3 linked regions of the Saccharomyces cerevisiae S288C genome follow. The protein of the gene in region 3 interacts with the protein of the main gene of each other region in a pairwise test. Each region holds a gene or a part of one and is shown on either strand. Other genes may lie near its edges.

What was found. Proteins that work in one complex are often made in the same cells at the same time.
Region 1: the proteins of SNQ2 (region 3) and HXT1 interact in binary tests that used the Saccharomyces cerevisiae proteins (3 or more experiments, as listed by UniProt).
Region 2: the proteins of SNQ2 (region 3) and TPO1 interact in a protein complementation assay, tested with the Saccharomyces cerevisiae proteins (one large-scale study listed by BioGRID).

Annotation. Positions count from the first base shown.
Region 1 is NC_001140.6:288,740-295,347, forward strand, and holds HXT1 (hexose transporter HXT1), read right to left. Parts: upstream 3,887-6,608; coding exon 2,174-3,886; downstream 1-2,173. Other genes in the region: hexose transporter HXT4, read right to left, coding at 1-72; AHT1 (Aht1p), read left to right, coding at 403-951; hexose transporter HXT5, read right to left, coding at 5,930-6,608. UniProt on the Saccharomyces cerevisiae protein: Low-affinity glucose transporter. HXT1 is as well involved in the transport of mannose.
Region 2 is NC_001144.5:81,835-88,737, reverse strand, and holds TPO1 (polyamine transporter TPO1), read right to left. Parts: upstream 3,935-6,903; coding exon 2,174-3,934; downstream 1-2,173. Other genes in the region: chaperone ATPase HSP104, read right to left, coding at 1-115; Fe-binding Fe/S cluster assembly protein ISA1, read right to left, coding at 583-1,335; FRA1 (aminopeptidase P), read right to left, coding at 5,028-6,903.
Region 3 is NC_001136.10:462,815-472,348, forward strand, and holds SNQ2 (ATP-binding cassette transporter SNQ2), read left to right. Parts: upstream 1-3,104; coding exon 3,105-7,610; downstream 7,611-9,534. Other genes in the region: transcriptional regulator GAL3, read left to right, coding at 620-2,182; YDR010C (uncharacterized protein), read right to left, coding at 2,237-2,569; 60S ribosomal protein uL4 RPL4B, read left to right, coding at 9,039-9,534. UniProt on the Saccharomyces cerevisiae protein: Could be an ATP-dependent permease. Confers hyper-resistance to the mutagens 4-nitroquinoline-N-oxide (4-NQO) and triaziquone, as well as to the chemicals sulphomethuron methyl phenanthroline when present in multiple copies.

The DNA.
Region 1 (6,608 bases), on a different chromosome or scaffold from region 3:
AACTGGCGACAAAGCATCAGCTGGAGTATTTTGGACTGCTGTATCCTCTTGATAGGCAGCTTCTTCAGACATTTTTGGCAGATTTTATTGTAAAAGTGTTTCAAAACCAAACCTTGATAAGAGGCTTTGAATATATCTTTTCTTTATGGTTTCTATTACTCATGAAGAGGAATTGAAGTGAATGAATCGAGAATAATGAATAAAACACTGAGTATTTATATAAAATTTTTTCTAGATGACATATTATTCATTCCCCAGTGTTGAAGCTTTTCACCACTAATTGACTTGAAGATTATTTTAGTTGCTTTTCTTACCACCCCACCTTCATAAACTTAAAAATATTATATTAGAATTTGAGTTTTCCTCCGTTGTTTCTTAATCAGAATCGTTAGACGCCGAATAATGGACTGTAAAATCAAAGCAGCTGGAAAAAACTCTGGAATTTTTCATGAAGGTGGCACTAAATCGTCGAAGAGCTTCTTGACCGTTTTTATCCGAAGTGTTTTTCCTCTTTCCCCAAGTTTTCCTGCAGGCGGGGGAATATGGGGCCCCATGGAAAAAAAACCGGGGGGGGTGGGAAAAAAAAAGGGGTCAGAAAAAAAAACTGCTCAGGGAAATATCTTCTTCTCCACAGAAAGAGACGCAGGCCAGGAAAAATGTGGAATATTATATAAACATTGTTTTTCCATTTTGTACGGATTTTTTTGGAAGAAAGCGGATAAACCGAAAGAAAAAACGGGAAATGGTTCCGGTTTGGGCATTGTTTTTCCTATTGGGCAAAAAAAAATCCCGGAACCAGCTGACTCGGATATTTTTCTTCCTTGTTTCCGCTATGCTGCTGCAAGTGACTTTACGAAGGCCAAGCGTTTCTTGGTGGAAATTACTGCAGTGTACTGGGTTTCGTTGGAGGCCCAGCCTTCATCTGCGTCTTGTTTATTCATTCTCATCTGATTATTATATCTTGATCGGTGCAAAAAAATTTTGAGGTACTTAAAATTTATTTTGCATAGAGATATTCGCATAAATGGAAAACCTAAGCTTTTCAGGTACGACTATTTGGCAACATCGTTGAACCTGGCTTTTCGGTCCTAACTTTGCACCATCTAGGATGAGACTATCTTGACTGTTTTACTTTTACGCATCGCTAGAAAATACGTGCGCGTTGCCAAATCAAAATTCCCGCAAATTGATGCGGTAGCGTAGTTCTGTTCCAAAATGAAAGTGAAACAACATAATGTTCCTTCTAGTTTTCGTGTCTGAAAGCTAAACCTCAAAGTTGAAACTAAAGCATGATTCCCCACCTCCTTCCTATTAGTCTTTTTTCCCGTAAAAGTTGGAAAATATCTGGGGTACTTGCGTCAGCTGTTCAGATCTTCTCTTACCGCTGTCGTGTCTTGTCTACAATGTCAGGTTGGCAGCCTAAGTTTTGGATTTAATAACCCTAGGGCTTTTCATTCTTTTATCAATCAGAACATTTACATGAAGAGGGCTGGAATAAAAAAAAAATATTCGGTTCTCCTCCATGCATAATGACGTAGTATTCTTATTGGCGCCAAACATAGTGTCATAATGCTTTTTCAACGATTTTAAAGTAACTCTTAGTGGATTGGAAAGGTCGCCTTTTCGATGGTAGCGTGCATTTTCTCGTCATTTTTTTTTTACTTGTCGTCTTTTCTTTACTGCTTCACCTCTTATCAAGCAAGTGTTTTTCGTGTCTCCCTGTGCCAGTCAGAAAATACATATGATTGGCAACTGTATATCCATTGAGATCGACTCGGTTATCTGTTAATGGAAATTATTGCTAGTAATTATAAATACCTAAAAACAACATCCTAACAGGCTTAAGTAACACTACTAGATGTTGAAGCAGCAGCGTTGTCAATTTCTATTCATTTGACATTTTTCCGAAATCATAAGCGGGCGTTTGAACTATGTATAGCGCCTATGTGGTATTAACCCATACTATATCATATAAAATTTTTCCTCGGAAGAGTGCCAGAATGAAATTTCTTGTTCCTTGGTGAAGGTCAAGAACTAGCAAAGAAAAGAACATCTGTTTATGAATTTGACAAGAATTTTGTTTTAACACCAATATAATATCACCTTTATAAAATTTACTGAGAAATTAAATACTGTATAAGTCATTAAAATATGCATATTGAGCTTGTTTAGTTTATTTCCTGCTAAACAAACTCTTGTAAAATGGTTGGTCATCATGCATTAGGTCATCAGCGTTGTAGTCAGCGCCTCTCTTGGATACTGGAACCCAGGAAGCTGATTTCCATGGTAGAACACCTTCGGCGTACATATCATTAACTTCTTCTAATGATAAACCTTTAGTTTCTGGAACGAAGAAAAAGACGTAAAAGTAAGCGAAAACCATACAGCCCATGAAAACGTAACCGTAGTAGAAGTTGATGGCACCAGTAATAAATGGGGTGAAGAAACTAATCAAGAAACCCCAGATCCAGTTAGCAGCACTGGCAATAGACATACACTTGGATTTGACTCTTAATGGGAAACATTCTGAAATAACAACGTAAGCAATTGGGGCCCAGGTAGTAGCGAAACAGAAAATGTAGAAACATGCGAAAACAATCATACAGTTACCAGCACCCTTTGAAGATGGTTGATCTTGACCGTTTGGCCATAATCTGGTAACACCAACAGAGGCATAGACAACATAACAGCAGACCATACCGACAGCACCCCACATCAAACAGTTACGACGGCCAAAACGGTCAACGGTGTACAGAGAACAACAAGTGGAGAAGAAGTTGACGACACCAAAGACAATAGAAGTTTCAAAAGAGTCACTTAAACCGACAGCCTGGAAAACAATGGTACCGTAGTAGAAGAAATAGTTATCACCAGTTAATTGTTGTAGAGATTGAATCATGATACCCATCATAGTACGTTGAAACATGGCTGGTTTACCAGTGAATAATTCGCCCCAAGATGCAGTACCAGCGGCTCTCATTTCTTCGACACTGGCTTCGATAGTTTCCAACTCATATTGAATGTATGGATGGTCAGGTGGGCATTTGTTAACTTTAGCTAAAGAAGCCCTGGCTTCGTCGATTCTGCCAGCTTCAACCAAATAACGTGGAGATTCAGGAACAAACATCATACCACCAATCATAAATAAGGCCCAGGCGAAACACAAACCTAATGGAACTCTCCATTGGACAGAGTTTGAGTAATTCTTGGTACCAAAATTGGTACAGTAACCTAAGAAAATACCTAAAGTAATCATGACTTGGTAACATGAAACCAAGGTGCCTCTCATTTCACTGGGGGCGACCTCAGATATTAGCATGGGAGATAAAACTGTGATACCACCGACACCTAAACCAGAGATAATTCTACCAATGAAATATTGGTACCACTTGTTGATCGAGGCTATTTGAATAATGATACCGATAGTGTAGATTACTACAACGACAATCAAACCGATTCTACGACCATACATATCACCTAGCTTGGCTAAGACGATACCACCAATGGCACAACCAATGTTAAAAATAGAGACAATTAAACCAGTTCTCACCTTGGACAAGTAATGACTACCGTCGTGGTGCTTCATACCAAATCTTCTTAGAAAATCAGTTTGAGCAACAAAACCAGAAATGGTACCAGTATCCCATCCAAATATGAAACCACCGAAAGCAACCATAACACAACAGATAGAAACCGTTACGTAGACACCTTTTCCGGTGTTTGGAGGGGCAACGGCGGGTTGCACTTGACTTTCACTTAAGTTGTCGTGAAAACTTTCATTTTTACCTTCTGGAGTATTCATGGCCTTTGAACGACCAGATTCCAATTCATATGAGTTGGATGAATTGGATTTCTGAGGAGATATTAGATCGGGAGTTGAATTCATGATTTTACGTATATCAACTAGTTGACGATTATGATATCTTTATAGATTTTAAGGTGGGGAAAGAACATGAGACCCCAGATGGAATTGATTATGGGGACATTGTTGCCTTTATATATAATTTCAATATACTAATTCAAATGATTAAAAACGTGAGGGGGACACGCAACTTCGGGTGTTAAGAAATATTTTGCTACATTAGATAATGGTGGAGTTTCCTGGCTTGTCGGATAAAAGCCATCAAATGTCGCAGCAGCTCATGTTTACGTTTGCTGTCTTCTGCCCACGTCATATGAGTGGTATTCTTCTATCAGCACTTGATGAATATTCTTTTTCTCATATATCTGAAAGACAAAAGATCGGCACGGCAATGCCCTGCAGCATTTCTTCCTAGTTTTTCCGAATTTCCATTACGTATTGGATCTTGTGCGCATATTTGTCAGTCCTTCACGGAAAAAAAAAAAGAGCACTGGGTCACTTCGGAAAAACTTTTGACTCAATGCAACAGTGTCATAATCCTTTGCGCTGTCTCTTTGAAGAAAAATCAGGAGTGCAAGATATCGATTAATTCCTTGGAAGTTATGATGGTTAGTCTTAGTTTAACTCTCTTGAAGAAGGGTTTTTTCAGTTGGTCAACACTCTTTAGAGGTAAAAAAAAAAAAAAAAAAAAAAAAAAGAGAATTCTTCATGTAATTTACCATGATTCTACGTTTTTGCAAGCAAAAATGAAGATAATCCGAGCGCATGCGCAAGTAGTCCCTGCCATGCCGCTTCGGAAAAACTTTCGAAACCAATACTCCTTACATCCGCCTTGAATTTAGGACCTACAATTGTTGTCTCTTCTGCTTGAACCAATAAGCCCTAGAAACCTTACACCCTAATTTGCACAAGAAAACTACGAAAAAATTTTTTCCTCTTTTTTCCGCAGCTCCAATCTCGCCCTGCTATTTTTTTGGTTCGGAGAAAAATAGTCGGTCGATATGAATTGAAGTTTCATTGTGGCCACTCGTTTAGGAATGGAATAACCTCCGCGAATGGAAAAAAAGAACTCGGAATATCAAAAATTCCGGCTCAAAGGAAAAATTTGCTTCAGGAGGGGGGAATTATATTCCAGATGAGACCTGCAAGGATTTCTGTGTGAGGTTTTCTCGGAGGAATAATAGTTTTCCAAAAATTACTTTTGGCAACTACGTGAATATAATTGACTACGGATATCCTTCGAGAAGGCCATAAAAAGAACCGTGACAGGGCCAAACAGAAAAATAATGAAGACAAGTTTGCTTTTTCTCTCACTGTATTTGAGGATCGGAAGCTTTTTGCACTGAAAATATTCTGGGTTAACAAGGTTTAAAGAAGCAAACTGCCACAAAGTATATGAGAGTATAACCGGACGGTACCTATACTTTGAAGTTGGAATAAATACGGGGTAGACAAAAAGGATGTGTTTCTGTATGTCTGATGAGAATGATGTCATCAAAGAACGTAAACAACAGTAACTGTCTATATTCTTGCTTTTTATTATGCGCTGTTACAGCAGGTAGCGGAGTTTTCAGTTCTTTCCCTAGTATGTAGTATGAAGGATAATACGGTAAAAGAACGGGGCTCTTGATTCATCATATAAATTTATTTTCCCCTGTTGAAACCTCGAGTAACCGTCCTCACTGTTTTATTACCAAGGATGAGCTCGAGCAGTTGTAAGAGAGAAGTGGGCAGAAAAGTATAAGTAACAAGAAACGATATACAAGTTCTTGTTGTTAGGCGTAGCAACCCTTTCTCCCCTGGTTTGATCCTACTTAAAATAAAGAAAAAAAACAAAAACGTCATGATGATTTTGATATTATTAGACATACGTAATTTAGTTGAATTAAAGGAATAACAGGCAGCCCTATTAACCACGGACAAAATATCTCTGCATATGATTGCATTATTTGTAAACTATGAATGAACATATGAACGAAAACGATTAATATTAATATTAAAATTTGAAATGGTGCAATGCTGAACATTGCAAGTATGCGAAAATAGTTGATCCTACACTACAAGAGATTATTTTTCTTTAGTGAACATCCTTTTATAAAATGGTCTCGGATCATTTCTAGTAGCGTCTAGGTCATAATCTGTTGTTCTCCTAGATGGTGGGATCCATTTGGTAGACTTCCAAGGTAGCACATTTTCTTCATACATTTCGTTGACTTCTTCTAATGTTAAGCCCTTTGTCTCTGGAACAAAGAAGAACACATAAAAGTATGCGAACACCATACAACCCATAAAGACATAGCCATAATAGAAATTGATTGCTGAAGTAATAAATGGAGTGAAAAAACTGATCAAGAACCCCCAAATCCAGTTACAGGCACTTGCAATCGACATTGCTTTACCACGTACTCTTAAGGGATACGACTCAGAGATAAGGACATAGGCAACGGGGGCCCAAGTGGTAGCGAAACAGAAAATGTAGAAACATGCGAAAACAATCATACAGTTACCAGCACCCTTTGAAGATGGTTGATCTTGACCGTTTGGCCATAATCTGGTAACACCAACAGAGGCATAGACGACATAGCAACAAATCATACCTACACAGCCCCATAACAAACAATTACGACGACCAAAACGATCGACGGTATATAGCGAGAAAAAAGTCGAAACAAAATTAACAACACCCAAAACAATAGCAGTTTCAAATGAATCTTCCAAACCAACAGCCTGGAAAATTGTAGTACCA
Region 2 (6,903 bases), on a different chromosome or scaffold from region 3:
AGGCAGCTAGAATATGTATAGGTTGTAATTGTGGATGTTGATGATCCGAAGCCAATTTTTGAGCCAACGTCAAAATCGTTAGAGCCCTTTCTGTAAATTGCGTTTGGTCGTTCATATATTCTGTATATTTTATGGTACGTGTAGTTGATTTCTTTTTTCTTTGTTATTGCTGATTCGATTCAAGGGTAAAAAGGAACAAGTGACAAAGGAACGAATTATGAAGGAATTGAGGCAAGATTACAATGCCTTATATAATAATCTGGCAGGTTGCATAAGTTTGCGCCCCTTTGCCTTTTACTGTGATATAATTTGCAGTTCTTTGAGATGGGCCCCCTGTTGAAAATTGAACAAAAAAATCGCGGCCCCTTATGGAACGTTTAAGATTGTAATTAATAACCCTTCTAGAAAATTCTGGAAAAATATATATCTACAAGAACAACGAAAGAAAAGTTAGGAACAGCAAACACTACCACGATGGAGGGTTCAATGTTAATATGTATGATAAATATGTAAATAAATAAGTAAATGAATAAATAAGTGAATAGGTAGATTCTTTTTTTCTAAAAATGGTGCAGAAGGTTTTTAAACCATGAAACTCTCGCCACAACCGCATGTGCCCTTGGAGTTTGGATTCTTGAAGACAAACTTAGAGGCCAACTTGTCGTCGATCCAGTCCATTTCACTTCCAATGATGCTGAATAACGCCTTTGAATCGATGACAATTTTAACGCCATCTTGTTCTACTACCTCATCGAATTTCCCCGGCTCGGTGATATATTGTAGATCGTACGTTAGTCCTGAACATCCACGGTTTCTAGCGCTAACTCTAATCAATTTAGGTTCCGGCTGAGCTAGCAGTGCCCTTAAATGCTTGATTGCCTTCGGACTCAGGGTGATCAGCGCCTTTCTTGGTCTCAATTTCCTCTTTCTTTTCTTGGGAGGTTCTGTGCAAGAGCAGTCATTCTTGGATACTGCAGCAGCTATTTGCTCGTCTATAGCTTTATTCTGCTTCTTGATGGCCTCCTCATGAGATTTGATGGTCTCACGCGAAGGGAATGCGTAGCTCGACCACTTCGGGCTTTTAGAAGCCTTGCTACTCTTGCTCTGATTGGAAACTATGAATTTGAAGGGCTTCTTACCTGGACGTTGACTATCTGGAGAGACAGAGTCTGCAGCTGCGGGCACTGTCTTCGGTATGAATTTTAATTTGAAAGGATTTACGTTGTTGATTGTGCGAGACATTGTGCCATTCGTACCGCCTCGCCAAAATCCTCCAGTTGAAAGGAATCTGTGTGCCAGCAGTACTGAATTCCTGCTTCTTCCTGTGTTTATCATTATGTTACGTTATTGTTCCGATCGTTTGTTATACTACCAAATCAAAAAAATCTAAAATGGTCTTTCGTACGAGTGCAAAAATGGTGGCCAAATGTATAAATAAATAAATAAGACGAGTAAAATAATGTCAATAAATAACAGTTTCTTAGTAATTCTAAAGGATTTACAAATATTTGCAAAATTCCATTACTCTTCCTTGCTTTCCTGTCCTCTTTCCCTTTCCTTTATGAATTAAAAGCATCTCAATCTCTTTCCTTTATTCCGTTGAAATTCCCTGTCAATTTTAATCCAAAATAAAGAAGTCATTAAACGGGCATTTACCGGGTGACTGTTATCTGACCAATGAAATCTGAGGGTATGACTAATAAGCCCCCGCCCGAGTTTCGGCCAAGGGTACGGACAACGCCGAGAACCGGCGATGAGAAGAACAATAGCTTTTATCTATTTCTTATTAGAGAGGGATTATTAATCATTAATTAGTGTTTTATTTAGTAACTATGGGCTATACATAACAACCACATAAGAGGAGTCTTGGAGGAAAAAAATGGGAAAAAAAAAAATAGTAGAAAAAAAAGGGGATATCACTACTCTCTAAGTACTCTTGTGCTTGTGCATAGAAAAAGATTTCCTTTGTTCTGTAGTTGTGTGTCTTTTTTGATTGTTTTTTTTTTTTTTTTTAATTTTTTTTTGTAATTTCTTTATATGTCAGCTTTACGCTGCACAGTGTCTATAATGCTATGTCGTTATCGAGCCCTTTGAGCGTGGGGCAGGGTGAGTAATAACAATGAAATAAAAAAATGCAAATATAGAAAGAGCATGATTTCTGCTTTTCTTTTTCTTAAGCGGCGTAAGCATACTTGGATTTCTTTCTGATAGATTCACCATATTTTAAGAATAGTAAAGGCACGGGAATCATCGCAGCGGCAAATAGACCTAATAACAAACCAGCCCAACCGATACCCATGCCACGGAACATATATCCTGCAAACAATGGGAAGCATGCACCAAATGCAGACCTCATGAAAGTGTTTGCTGCGACGGCAGAAGCTGCCAACAATAGATACGATTCAATGATATAGTTTAAACATGGCAAGAAAATACCCATTAAACCGAACCCGATGAAGGCCCCTCCTACTGTGGGGACCATCCAATGAATCTTGTGAGGATAGTAGCCCGTCCAACAGAACCATAAGATACCAATAGGGAAAACGGTACCTGCAATGACCATTGCGTACAATCTGGCCTCGGGCACTAATTTCCCCTTGGCTCTACATCTTTTCAAATAATCGTTGTCCATATACCAAATGAAAGCAGCACACACCATCATACCGATAATCAAGGCGATGTATGGCAACTCACCGTTTTCAGTAAACCCATAACCCTCCACAAAGACAAGTGGGTAGGCTTCCAGTAACAAATACAAGATACCGTAGACAAAAGAGTTGTAAATAGTCACGAATAGTAGCAATGGTTCCACGAAAAGCATAATGATAGGCCTCGTCACAGTTTTTTGGACAATGTCTTTGATGGATAGCTCCACGTCTTCATGAGCAGCATGAATACCCCAGTTATTACTTTGCTTTCTCATCTGTTTGGCCTTGTTAACCAAAATGGTAGGGTGATGTGTTTCTTCAAAGAACAATACGATGGCAACGAAAACTGCGGAAGCGAAACAACCGACAACATATTCTAACCATCTCCAGGTAGTTCTTTGTGCGATATAAGAACCCATGACAGGCGATAAAATGGGGCCTACAAAAACACCTAGAGAAAATAGCGCAATGGCTTTACCTCTAACATTAGTATCAAACATGTCGGCAAACGCGGCGGGGACGACGGCCATGGGTGCTGCCCCGATAAAACCACCAAAGAATCTACATATGAAAATAGTTTGCAGGTTCTCAGCAGTAGCGACAGCAAATTGGAAAAGGGCAAATCCAAACGCAGATAAAACCAGAACACCCTTTCTACCGTACAATTCAGAAAGAGGAGCATAGATAACCGGTGAGGCCGCAAACCCAAGAACAAAAAGCGTGATACCCAAAATGGCGACAACTTCGATGACGTGGTATATCTCGCAGATTTGCGGCACTGCAGAGGCAAAAATGGAAGAACACATAGCAATGGCAATAGAATCCAGACATAAGACCAGACATAGCAGCACTTTCTTCTTCATGGGCCAGTTAAATGGATGTAGTGGGTCGTTAGGACCATCAAAAGTAACCTCGTACAGGTCTCTGCTCGGCAACGATGGAGGGTAAGGTCTGTCACCACCCATGGGCGCACAATTGGTATAATCAACCTCTACACGGTCAGGCTCGTTAACAGACCCAGTAAGGATTTTAGTTAATCTTCTCGTGATATTAACCTCTGATTCTGCAGCAGAATTCATAGTCGTCGTTCTTTGAATCGCTAAATCTGCACCACCATTGCCCTCCGTAGCAGTTGTGTATTTGGCACCTTCACCGGTGAAATCTACAGGTTCGACGCCTGTGGTTCCCGTGGTGCCCGTCGAATGCATATCGCTGGATGAGCTTCTTGACGAGTCTGATGGCAGCAGATGATTTTCCTTATTAGAAATGGGAGAATGATCCGACATTGTCTCTGTCTAGTTTTCTCTTGCTTCTTTGACTAAAAAAAAAAGTGACTGATAAAAGATCCAGAAATAAAGAGTTCCCGATATTTAGTATATGATCTCGTTGCAAGGGTGCGAAGAACCAATTTCAGATTATTGGATTTTTCTCTTCTATAGACCAAGATTATTTTTGAAAACTGGTGACTCAAGGCATACGAGCAGAAAGAAACATCAAGATCAAATGAGGTACCCTTTATATATAGAACACATTACTTGATAGTATATTCTGCACACATAAAAAAAAAAAAGAAAATGACAATGTTCAACGTTAAATTTTTCTTCCTTTTTCTTTAGGGAATTCCTACGATCGTTTCCTTTTAAAGTAAAACTCCCGATACGAAGATTTCTGTGTACCGACGGACGGAAATCTCGAATGGCTCTACTGTGAGACGGCTTCATAGCGACATAGACGGAAGGGTTTGCTTCCTTCCTTCCTTCCGCGTCCGCATCCGTTTCCGCATCCGCCTTCCGTATCCGCTTTTCGCTCGGTGCTTCTCTTTCCACGGAAAATCCTGCTCCTGCTCCATGGAACCAAAGCAACGGGGTCTGGCGGAACCTATAATCCGTTGTGACCGGGCCCGCATAAGGAATTCTCGGCTCTTAAAATAATCTATCCTGCGCAGAAAATACTGGCTGGCAAAAAAGAAATACTAAATCAGACTCCTTGTCTTTACGTTGGCTATGTAGTCCAAGCTTGGCAGTACTACTGGTGCCTGGTTATAAGATTGATTTTTGTGACTCTTGCGGAAAGGTTCGCCGAGCAGGGACCCTGGATGAAAAAATTTCTTGATGAGGCATCAGTATAAATCACTAGGGGGCTGTACATGCATGGTCGTTTAAAATCCGACTACGCACATTAACTCTTTTTGGCACTAAAAGCGCTCGGGGTTAAGTGTACCTACCCCTCTCCGGCCGTAAAAAAATGAAGGTAATGTTTTCAATTTTCACCTTTTAGTCATTATTGTTGTTATTGTTATCACTCAAATTAAATAAAAAGAAAGAAACTACTTAGAATAAATACTAACATTAATTGTATTGCGCCCCGCTCGCCTCGAAGTCATAGTGGGCTTGTTTCTCTTTTCAGCCACTTGTATGAAATACTCTGAGGCTGCAGAAAATGCACTATTGTCCTCCATACCCTTGCGTGGTACTCGTTAATCTGTGTTTTTTCTTCTTCGTTTAGTAACTTAGTATTGATCAACTTCCTGCAATAGGGAACCACAGTCATGTTTTCGAATTTCAAGAAGTTACCCTTCTCAGTGGCCTTCTTGATTAACATGTCGCTTTCAATCCTGATACCATACTCACCATCCTTATAATAACCTGGTTCGTTACTTATTATGTTACCCGCTCTTAAGGGGAAATTCATCAGATGTGGCCTAAAGCCGACACCCATGGGTCCTTCGTGAACGTTTAAAAATGATCCGATACCATGGCCTGTGCCATGTTTGTAATCTAACCCGCGGGACCATAAAAACTGCCTAGCGATGGCGTCGATATTAAACCCGGGAGTGTTTTCGGGAAAAATCAACCTCTCTAGGGCTAAGCCACCTTTAAGTACCAGTGTGTAATTATCCATTTCTTCTTTGGTTGGCTTTGTTAAGTGAATTGTTCTTGTTATATCAGTTGTACCCTCCAAGAATTGCGAACCGGAGTCGCAAAGATATATCTTGGTAGGATCAATCATCGAAGAGTTCTCTACGGGCGGCGAATAATGTATGATGGCGGCGTTACTACCTGTGGAGGATATTGTTTCGAAGGAATTGCCCATGAAGTTCCTTTGGGTTTTCCTAATCTCGGTCAATTTTTCTGCGGCACGATATTCATCTATCAGTGCCTCGCGCCCCACTAATTGCTGCTCCAGCCATGCAAAATACTGCACTAAACATACTGCGTCTTTGACCTGCGCCTTGTGTGCGTTTTTTATTTCGATGTCATTCTTGATAGATTTCAAAACATCGATGGGTGAGTGAATTATCGCAAAGTTTTGTGCAGTCATTTTTTTAGCTATTGCACCGTTAGCGTTGGTTGAGGTGTTCAAACAACGAACCATCTGCCACGATGCACTATCAGGAATCAAAAATTCATGCTCCGCAGAAGAAGCCTGCGAAGTTATCTTTGTTAAATGTTCCCATATCTGTTCGTAAGGTCTGACTTCAATACCGTTTATCTTAAAATATTCCGATATGTCATCATTGAAGGGGTTATTGGTGAAAAGAATGGTTTCGTCTTCGTTAATAGCCACGTAGGAGAAAAAAACTGGATTATAGTCAATGTCGGATCCACGCAAGTTCAACAACCAACAAATTTCATCCAACGCAACTACTATGAAAGTATTCCTACCGGTCGTCGCAGAGGAAGCCTTATCATTCAGCTTTTTCAGTAACTTTTCCTTCTTGTCTTTGAATTCTTCACCATGAAACTCGTATTTTAACAGTAGTAAATCGTTACAAGGCCTTTCAGGTAGAGTTTCAAAATCAGGCCAAATACTGTCAACTAAGTTTTCCTCCACGGGAACCAGCTCCACTTTACCCTTTGCGTCATATTTAGTGTCAATCATTTTTCTAAAAGAAACATAGTCGTTGAAAGTGATAAGTTTTGGGTCAATACCTATCTTCAACACCATTCCCTCTTTATTGCCAAGTCCCTTGGCCATTTCCAAAGCTTCTCTGACACACCATTCTTGCCAAGTGATTGGGTCTTCGTTTTGCCTCAAAAGTGTCCAATTATAATCTAGTTCTTGTCTAGCTTGATTGAAATATCTTCCATCAGTACTCAAAATGGATTTCCCATCCGGATGGTCATCGTTGAAATTTAACAAGTCTCTGGTGATACAGGCTACACCGGCCGATCCGGAAAACCCTGAAATGAAGGCGCGCCTTTGATCTCGCAATGATACATATTCGGACTGATGTTCGTCACAACTGGGCACA
Region 3 (9,534 bases):
TTAGTATATAAATACACATGTACATACCTCTCTCCGTATCCTCGTAATCATTTTCTTGTATTTATCGTCTTTTCGCTGTAAAAACTTTATCACACTTATCTCAAATACACTTATTAACCGCTTTTACTATTATCTTCTACGCTGACAGTAATATCAAACAGTGACACATATTAAACACAGTGGTTTCTTTGCATAAACACCATCAGCCTCAAGTCGTCAAGTAAAGATTTCGTGTTCATGCAGATAGATAACAATCTATATGTTGATAATTAGCGTTGCCTCATCAATGCGAGATCCGTTTAACCGGACCCTAGTGCACTTACCCCACGTTCGGTCCACTGTGTGCCGAACATGCTCCTTCACTATTTTAACATGTGGAATTCTTGAAAGAATGAAATCGCCATGCCAAGCCATCACACGGTCTTTTATGCAATTGATTGACCGCCTGCAACACATAGGCAGTAAAATTTTTACTGAAACGTATATAATCATCATAAGCGACAAGTGAGGCAACACCTTTGTTACCACATTGACAACCCCAGGTATTCATACTTCCTATTAGCGGAATCAGGAGTGCAAAAAGAGAAAATAAAAGTAAAAAGGTAGGGCAACACATAGTATGAATACAAACGTTCCAATATTCAGTTCTCCGGTCAGAGATTTACCAAGGTCTTTCGAACAAAAACATTTAGCGGTTGTAGATGCATTTTTCCAAACATACCATGTCAAACCTGATTTTATCGCTAGGTCTCCTGGCAGAGTAAATCTGATTGGTGAGCATATAGATTATTGCGATTTTTCAGTTTTGCCATTAGCCATTGATGTGGATATGCTTTGCGCAGTTAAAATTTTAGACGAAAAAAATCCATCCATTACCTTAACAAATGCGGACCCTAAATTTGCTCAGCGAAAGTTTGATCTGCCTTTAGATGGTTCCTACATGGCCATAGATCCGTCTGTGTCGGAATGGTCGAATTACTTTAAATGCGGACTACATGTGGCACATTCATACTTGAAAAAAATTGCTCCGGAAAGATTTAATAATACACCCTTAGTAGGTGCGCAGATCTTTTGCCAGAGCGATATTCCTACTGGTGGTGGACTCTCATCTGCATTTACTTGCGCGGCAGCACTAGCCACAATTAGAGCCAATATGGGAAAAAATTTTGATATTTCCAAAAAAGACTTGACCCGCATCACAGCGGTTGCTGAGCACTATGTTGGAGTCAATAATGGTGGTATGGATCAAGCAACGTCTGTTTATGGGGAAGAAGATCATGCTCTATACGTAGAGTTTAGGCCAAAACTAAAGGCCACACCTTTCAAGTTTCCTCAATTGAAAAATCATGAAATCAGTTTCGTCATCGCCAATACTCTTGTAAAGTCTAATAAATTCGAAACTGCTCCTACAAATTACAATTTAAGAGTAATAGAGGTAACAGTTGCTGCCAACGCCTTGGCGACCAGATACAGCGTGGCCTTACCATCTCACAAGGACAATTCTAACTCAGAAAGAGGGAATCTAAGAGATTTTATGGATGCTTACTACGCCAGATACGAAAACCAAGCCCAACCATGGAATGGAGATATCGGAACTGGTATTGAACGTTTACTCAAGATGCTACAATTGGTAGAAGAATCTTTCTCGAGGAAAAAGAGCGGATTCACTGTACATGAAGCCTCTACGGCGCTAAACTGTTCACGTGAGGAGTTCACTAGAGATTACCTGACAACTTTTCCCGTCCGCTTCCAAGTCTTGAAACTATATCAAAGAGCTAAACACGTTTACTCCGAATCCTTAAGGGTGCTTAAGGCTTTAAAAATGATGACAAGTGCCACTTTTCACACGGACGAAGATTTCTTTACAGATTTTGGCCGACTAATGAATGAGTCCCAGGCCTCTTGTGATAAACTTTATGAATGTTCGTGCATAGAAACCAATCAAATATGCTCGATTGCCCTAGCAAATGGTTCTTTCGGCTCCCGTCTCACTGGCGCTGGTTGGGGCGGTTGCACTATCCACCTTGTTCCTAGTGGCGCTAATGGGAACGTGGAACAGGTACGAAAAGCACTAATCGAAAAATTCTACAATGTAAGATATCCGGATCTCACAGATGAAGAACTAAAAGACGCAATTATAGTTTCGAAGCCTGCCTTGGGTACTTGTTTGTACGAACAATAACACTAAACACCTTCTTGGAACAACCTTTAAATATTAAAAGTTTACTCATACCTCTTACACTCTATAAAGAAACAAGTTGGTGAGTCCAATAGAACCCATTCCAGCATCCGATGCAACCATAGCCCGGTTGATGCGAGTCAGAGTGGCTCCGCACACAGAGGTTATGTGACCATGGTAACCGTACACATTTTTCCACGGCAAGGAAGTGGCGCGAAAGAAGCACCGCCCTCCACGGATCACCCCATTTGGAAAAGAACGGAGACATAAAAAAAAATTACCTTCACGCCAGACTATGTATGACTCGTAGAAATCTAGCATCCGCGGAGCTATTTTAAGTTTCCGCGGATGCCTTTCGATCCTTTCCCAGTCGTCTGGTTCCGCGCACATATGACTAAATGTCCGCCCATTTCCGTTTAAATCCGTTTTCTATTTTCTTTAGGTCTTTCCATTGTATTCCCTGCAACCCCGCTGGGTATTGGTATTACTAATAGTGACTACGCAACATCAACATATAAAACAAATGATGAGTAGTGCCCCTCCCTCACCGCTATCGCCTCACCACTTTTTATGCTTGTATATGCTTGTAGATAAATAAATACCTAACGAAAACAATATATACGAACCTAGTGTATTTGTATCTTTTGTTTTTCAAGTTGAAGTGTTGCGAGGTCAAAAAAAAAAAAGCTCACTGTAGGATATAGGAGTTACTATATCACCAGTGCATTACATTCTCAGTGCATCCATCGTCTTCAACATTGATTATTTTCTCCTTCCATTGATTAGAGTTCAAGCTCCCTGAGAAAACGAAGGTATAGCGGACGTACCCGCAGAGACATAAAAAAAGAAAAACTATATCGAAGACCGAAAGCAGTAAAAAAGTGGATAGAATAACACAGCTACCAAAATACGTAAAGAGAATTCAATGAGCAATATCAAAAGCACGCAAGATAGCTCTCATAATGCTGTCGCTAGAAGCTCAAGCGCTTCTTTTGCAGCTTCAGAAGAATCATTTACGGGCATAACCCATGACAAAGATGAGCAGAGCGATACCCCGGCGGATAAACTAACAAAAATGCTGACAGGACCTGCAAGAGACACTGCGAGCCAGATTAGTGCCACTGTGTCTGAAATGGCGCCAGATGTCGTATCTAAAGTGGAGTCATTTGCAGATGCACTATCCCGTCATACAACGAGAAGCGGTGCCTTTAATATGGATTCAGATAGTGACGATGGGTTCGATGCCCATGCCATCTTTGAAAGTTTTGTAAGAGACGCTGATGAGCAAGGCATCCATATCCGCAAGGCTGGTGTTACCATAGAGGACGTAAGCGCTAAAGGTGTGGATGCGAGTGCCCTAGAAGGTGCTACCTTTGGTAACATTCTTTGTTTACCGTTGACCATCTTTAAAGGTATTAAGGCTAAGAGGCATCAAAAGATGAGACAGATCATAAGCAATGTCAATGCCCTGGCAGAAGCGGGTGAAATGATTTTGGTTCTTGGAAGGCCTGGTGCTGGTTGTTCCTCCTTTTTAAAAGTAACAGCTGGTGAAATAGATCAGTTTGCCGGTGGTGTTTCCGGTGAAGTAGCATATGATGGTATTCCCCAAGAAGAAATGATGAAACGATATAAAGCAGATGTTATTTACAATGGTGAGTTGGATGTTCATTTCCCTTATTTAACAGTTAAGCAAACTTTGGATTTCGCTATTGCCTGCAAAACGCCTGCTCTCAGAGTCAATAACGTTTCCAAAAAGGAATACATTGCATCCAGAAGAGATTTATATGCAACCATTTTCGGTCTAAGGCATACCTATAATACCAAAGTTGGTAACGATTTCGTTAGAGGTGTATCTGGTGGTGAACGTAAGCGTGTTTCCATTGCCGAGGCTTTGGCAGCCAAAGGTTCCATTTACTGTTGGGATAATGCCACTAGAGGTTTGGATGCGTCTACGGCCTTAGAATACGCAAAAGCCATCCGTATTATGACAAACTTATTGAAATCAACCGCTTTTGTTACAATTTATCAGGCAAGTGAAAACATTTACGAAACATTTGATAAAGTCACTGTCCTTTATTCTGGTAAGCAAATTTATTTTGGTTTGATCCACGAGGCAAAACCTTATTTCGCAAAAATGGGTTATTTGTGTCCTCCAAGGCAAGCAACAGCTGAATTTTTAACCGCGTTGACTGATCCAAATGGATTCCATCTGATCAAGCCAGGTTATGAAAATAAAGTACCAAGAACCGCTGAGGAATTCGAAACATATTGGTTAAATTCTCCAGAGTTTGCTCAAATGAAAAAAGATATCGCTGCTTATAAAGAGAAGGTCAATACCGAAAAGACTAAAGAAGTTTATGACGAATCGATGGCTCAAGAGAAATCCAAATATACGAGAAAGAAGTCTTATTATACAGTGTCATATTGGGAACAAGTTAAACTGTGTACCCAACGTGGGTTCCAAAGAATTTACGGTAACAAGAGTTATACAGTCATCAATGTCTGCTCTGCAATAATTCAATCTTTTATTACTGGATCATTATTTTACAATACCCCTTCATCCACTTCCGGTGCTTTTTCAAGAGGTGGTGTGTTGTATTTTGCGCTACTATATTATTCTTTGATGGGACTGGCGAATATTTCTTTTGAACATAGGCCAATCTTACAAAAGCACAAGGGCTATTCTTTGTATCATCCTTCAGCTGAGGCAATTGGCTCCACTCTGGCATCTTTCCCCTTCAGAATGATTGGTTTGACCTGTTTCTTTATCATTTTATTCTTCCTATCTGGGTTGCACAGAACAGCGGGATCATTTTTTACCATCTATTTGTTCTTAACCATGTGTTCAGAGGCGATCAATGGTTTATTTGAGATGGTTTCTTCAGTATGTGACACTCTTTCTCAAGCTAACTCTATCTCGGGTATTCTGATGATGTCTATCTCAATGTACTCTACCTATATGATCCAATTGCCTTCGATGCATCCATGGTTTAAATGGATATCGTACGTACTACCTATCAGGTACGCCTTCGAGTCGATGTTAAATGCCGAATTTCACGGTAGGCATATGGATTGTGCTAACACTCTAGTACCCAGTGGAGGAGACTATGATAATTTATCCGATGACTACAAAGTATGTGCTTTTGTTGGTTCGAAACCAGGTCAGTCTTATGTGCTTGGTGATGACTACCTTAAAAATCAATTTCAGTACGTTTATAAGCACACGTGGAGAAACTTTGGTATCTTGTGGTGCTTTTTACTGGGTTATGTTGTTTTGAAAGTGATATTCACAGAATATAAGAGGCCTGTGAAAGGTGGTGGTGATGCTCTTATCTTCAAGAAAGGATCAAAAAGATTTATCGCACATGCAGATGAAGAATCTCCAGACAATGTCAATGATATAGATGCCAAAGAGCAATTCTCCAGTGAAAGTAGCGGCGCAAATGATGAAGTATTTGATGATTTAGAAGCCAAAGGTGTTTTCATTTGGAAGGACGTATGCTTTACTATTCCATATGAAGGCGGTAAGAGAATGCTTTTGGATAATGTTTCAGGTTATTGTATTCCAGGTACCATGACGGCCTTGATGGGAGAGTCAGGTGCTGGTAAAACAACTTTGTTAAATACTCTTGCTCAAAGAAATGTCGGTATCATTACTGGTGATATGCTTGTCAATGGACGTCCCATTGATGCGAGTTTCGAAAGGCGTACAGGTTATGTACAACAACAGGATATACATATCGCAGAGTTAACTGTTAGGGAATCGTTGCAGTTTTCTGCTCGTATGCGTCGCCCTCAGCATTTGCCTGATTCTGAAAAAATGGATTATGTGGAAAAAATCATCAGAGTTTTGGGAATGGAAGAGTATGCGGAAGCCCTTGTTGGTGAGGTTGGTTGTGGTTTAAACGTTGAACAGAGAAAGAAGCTGTCTATTGGTGTTGAACTAGTCGCCAAACCAGACTTATTATTATTCCTCGATGAACCTACATCAGGTTTGGATTCTCAATCTTCATGGGCCATTATTCAATTATTAAGAAAGTTATCAAAAGCTGGCCAATCCATTCTTTGTACGATCCATCAACCTTCAGCTACTCTGTTCGAAGAGTTTGATAGATTACTACTTTTGAGGAAGGGTGGACAAACTGTTTATTTCGGAGATATTGGTAAGAACTCTGCCACCATTTTGAACTACTTTGAAAGGAATGGGGCAAGAAAATGTGATTCTAGTGAAAATCCTGCTGAATATATTTTAGAGGCTATTGGTGCCGGTGCCACAGCATCCGTCAAAGAAGACTGGCACGAAAAATGGTTGAACTCTGTCGAGTTTGAACAAACAAAAGAAAAAGTACAGGATTTAATAAATGATTTATCGAAACAAGAAACTAAATCCGAAGTTGGAGACAAACCTTCCAAATATGCTACTTCTTATGCTTACCAGTTCAGATATGTTTTAATCAGAACCTCTACTTCATTTTGGAGAAGTCTGAATTACATCATGTCAAAGATGATGCTAATGCTGGTTGGTGGTCTGTATATTGGTTTCACATTTTTCAATGTTGGTAAAAGTTATGTCGGCTTACAAAATGCGATGTTCGCGGCATTTATCTCTATTATCTTGTCTGCTCCTGCAATGAACCAAATCCAAGGACGTGCTATTGCCTCCAGAGAACTTTTTGAAGTTAGGGAATCCCAATCTAACATGTTTCACTGGTCGCTGGTGTTGATCACTCAGTACTTGAGCGAACTTCCCTATCATTTATTTTTTTCGACAATTTTCTTTGTCTCATCGTATTTTCCATTAAGAATCTTCTTCGAAGCGTCAAGATCTGCGGTGTACTTTTTGAATTACTGCATTATGTTCCAGTTATACTATGTTGGTCTTGGCTTAATGATCCTATATATGTCACCGAACCTTCCATCCGCTAATGTTATCTTAGGTTTGTGTCTGTCATTTATGCTTTCTTTCTGTGGTGTTACACAACCTGTCTCATTGATGCCTGGCTTCTGGACATTCATGTGGAAGGCTTCCCCATACACATATTTTGTTCAGAATCTGGTCGGAATTATGCTGCACAAAAAACCAGTCGTATGCAAAAAGAAAGAACTAAACTACTTCAACCCACCAAACGGCTCAACGTGTGGAGAGTACATGAAACCCTTTTTGGAAAAAGCTACTGGTTACATCGAAAATCCTGATGCTACGTCAGATTGTGCATACTGTATTTACGAAGTTGGAGATAATTATTTGACACATATCAGCTCTAAGTATAGCTACTTGTGGAGAAATTTTGGAATATTTTGGATTTACATTTTCTTCAATATCATTGCTATGGTTTGTGTGTATTACCTCTTCCATGTAAGACAATCTTCCTTCCTAAGCCCCGTATCTATACTCAATAAAATTAAAAACATAAGGAAAAAGAAGCAGTAATGTGGGCTTCAGATAACTTAACATTTTGTGCATTCATCTGCCTTTAATTCTTAATTCTCATTTTACACTATAGAAGAAGACACGAGTACATCTCGTTTCACTTTTATACTGACATTCATATAATTAACAATAAGTATAGTTTATAATAGATACAAAAAAAAAGTCTTGTATTACCATGTTAATAGTTACATTGTGTATAACTCTCGTAGTTTTCAAAAGTCAAGTCTTGTTGAGTAAAAAAGTTTATTTTACCCTTGGGTTTCGACTCAAAATATTGGATTACGATCTAAGCAAGGTGTTGCAAGTACAAGCTAAACGAAAAGAATAAGACAAAAAAACTGAGGCTCCTCAAACTGGTCACCAAAATTGAACTTCAAATTTAGTGTTTCTACATTTTTTCTATTTTGTTTCATTTTTATATCCCTTTCATATGATTAACAAAACTTGGTAAATTATCTGGCCTGTCAACCCTTACCTGTCCTGTCCCTTCTTTAGACAAAAGAAAATAAAAAAATTGGACACAGGAAAACAACAGCCTCCATACCACAGTTTCTGTGTCTTATTCTATTTAGGAAGGTCATTCTATATTACTCAAAGGAAAGACATCCAGTAGAAACAATAGTGTTGCTAAACGGTTAACTTGCCCACTAATGTCTGCTTATATTTGCAAATCACTATTGTGGCAAGTCATACCCTGGAGCTTTGTGATTGAACAACATATACTATATTGCAGCAGTATTTTTCAGAAATAATATTCGAAAGAAGTGAGAACAAGAAATGACCACGATAGATTACAGCTGACCAACTTAGAAAATGAGTAAACTTATTTTTGTCTTAAGAAGTGCATGCAGCGACCTCTCCCAATTACCAAATTGTAATTTTTTATTATTCTTTTTTTCTGCATAGTTCATTCGACAGCTTGGTTGAAAAGAGTGATAAAAATTTTCTGTTTTATGAAAAGTTTTCATAACTCTATTAAGGGTTGCACTATAAGAACATTTCGCAATAAAGCAACCCTTATCCGGACCCTACATGTTCCGTAAGTCCTGCCTTATTTATCGTAACGGTATTCATCTTACAGGAATTTTTGAATATAGATAACGTTAGTTTTGATAGATTGGAACAAATGGGAAAATAACAATTTAGAAGCGCTTTCCTCAGCGTATCTGAATTATAAAACAACTGCGCATATTGCTAAGAACTGCACTGAAGGCATGAATTGTCTATTCCGTTAGAAATATAATTATTTACGAAAGCATCGCGCAGACGCAATTTTTTTAACATTTTTTTTTTTTCAAGTACTCTGGAAAAGTTTTCATGAAGATCATGAATACGTTACACTACTATTATTATTGAAAATAATATTTCTTTCCTATCAGCAATCGCTTACATATTCATAGTCATTTACTAGGGTATATACCAATAATAATGTCCCGTCCACAAGTTACTGTTCACTCTTTGACTGGTGAAGCTACTGCCAATGCCTTGCCATTGCCAGCTGTCTTCTCCGCTCCTATCCGTCCTGACATTGTCCACACTGTTTTCACCTCTGTGAACAAGAACAAGAGACAAGCTTACGCTGTTTCTGAAAAGGCTGGTCACCAAACCTCCGCTGAATCCTGGGGTACCGGTCGTGCCGTCGCTCGTATTCCAAGAGTTGGTGGTGGTGGTACCGGTAGATCCGGTCAAGGTGCCTTCGGTAACATGTGTCGTGGTGGTCGTATGTTTGCTCCAACTAAGACCTGGAGAAAGTGGAACGTTAAGGTTAACCACAACGAAAAGCGTTACGCCACTGCTTCTGCTATTGCTGCTACTGCTGTTGCTTCTTTGGTCTTGGCCAGAGGTCACAGAGTCGAAAAGATTCCAGAAATCCCATTGGTTGTCTCCACTGACTTGGAATCTATTCAAAAGACCAAGGAAGCTG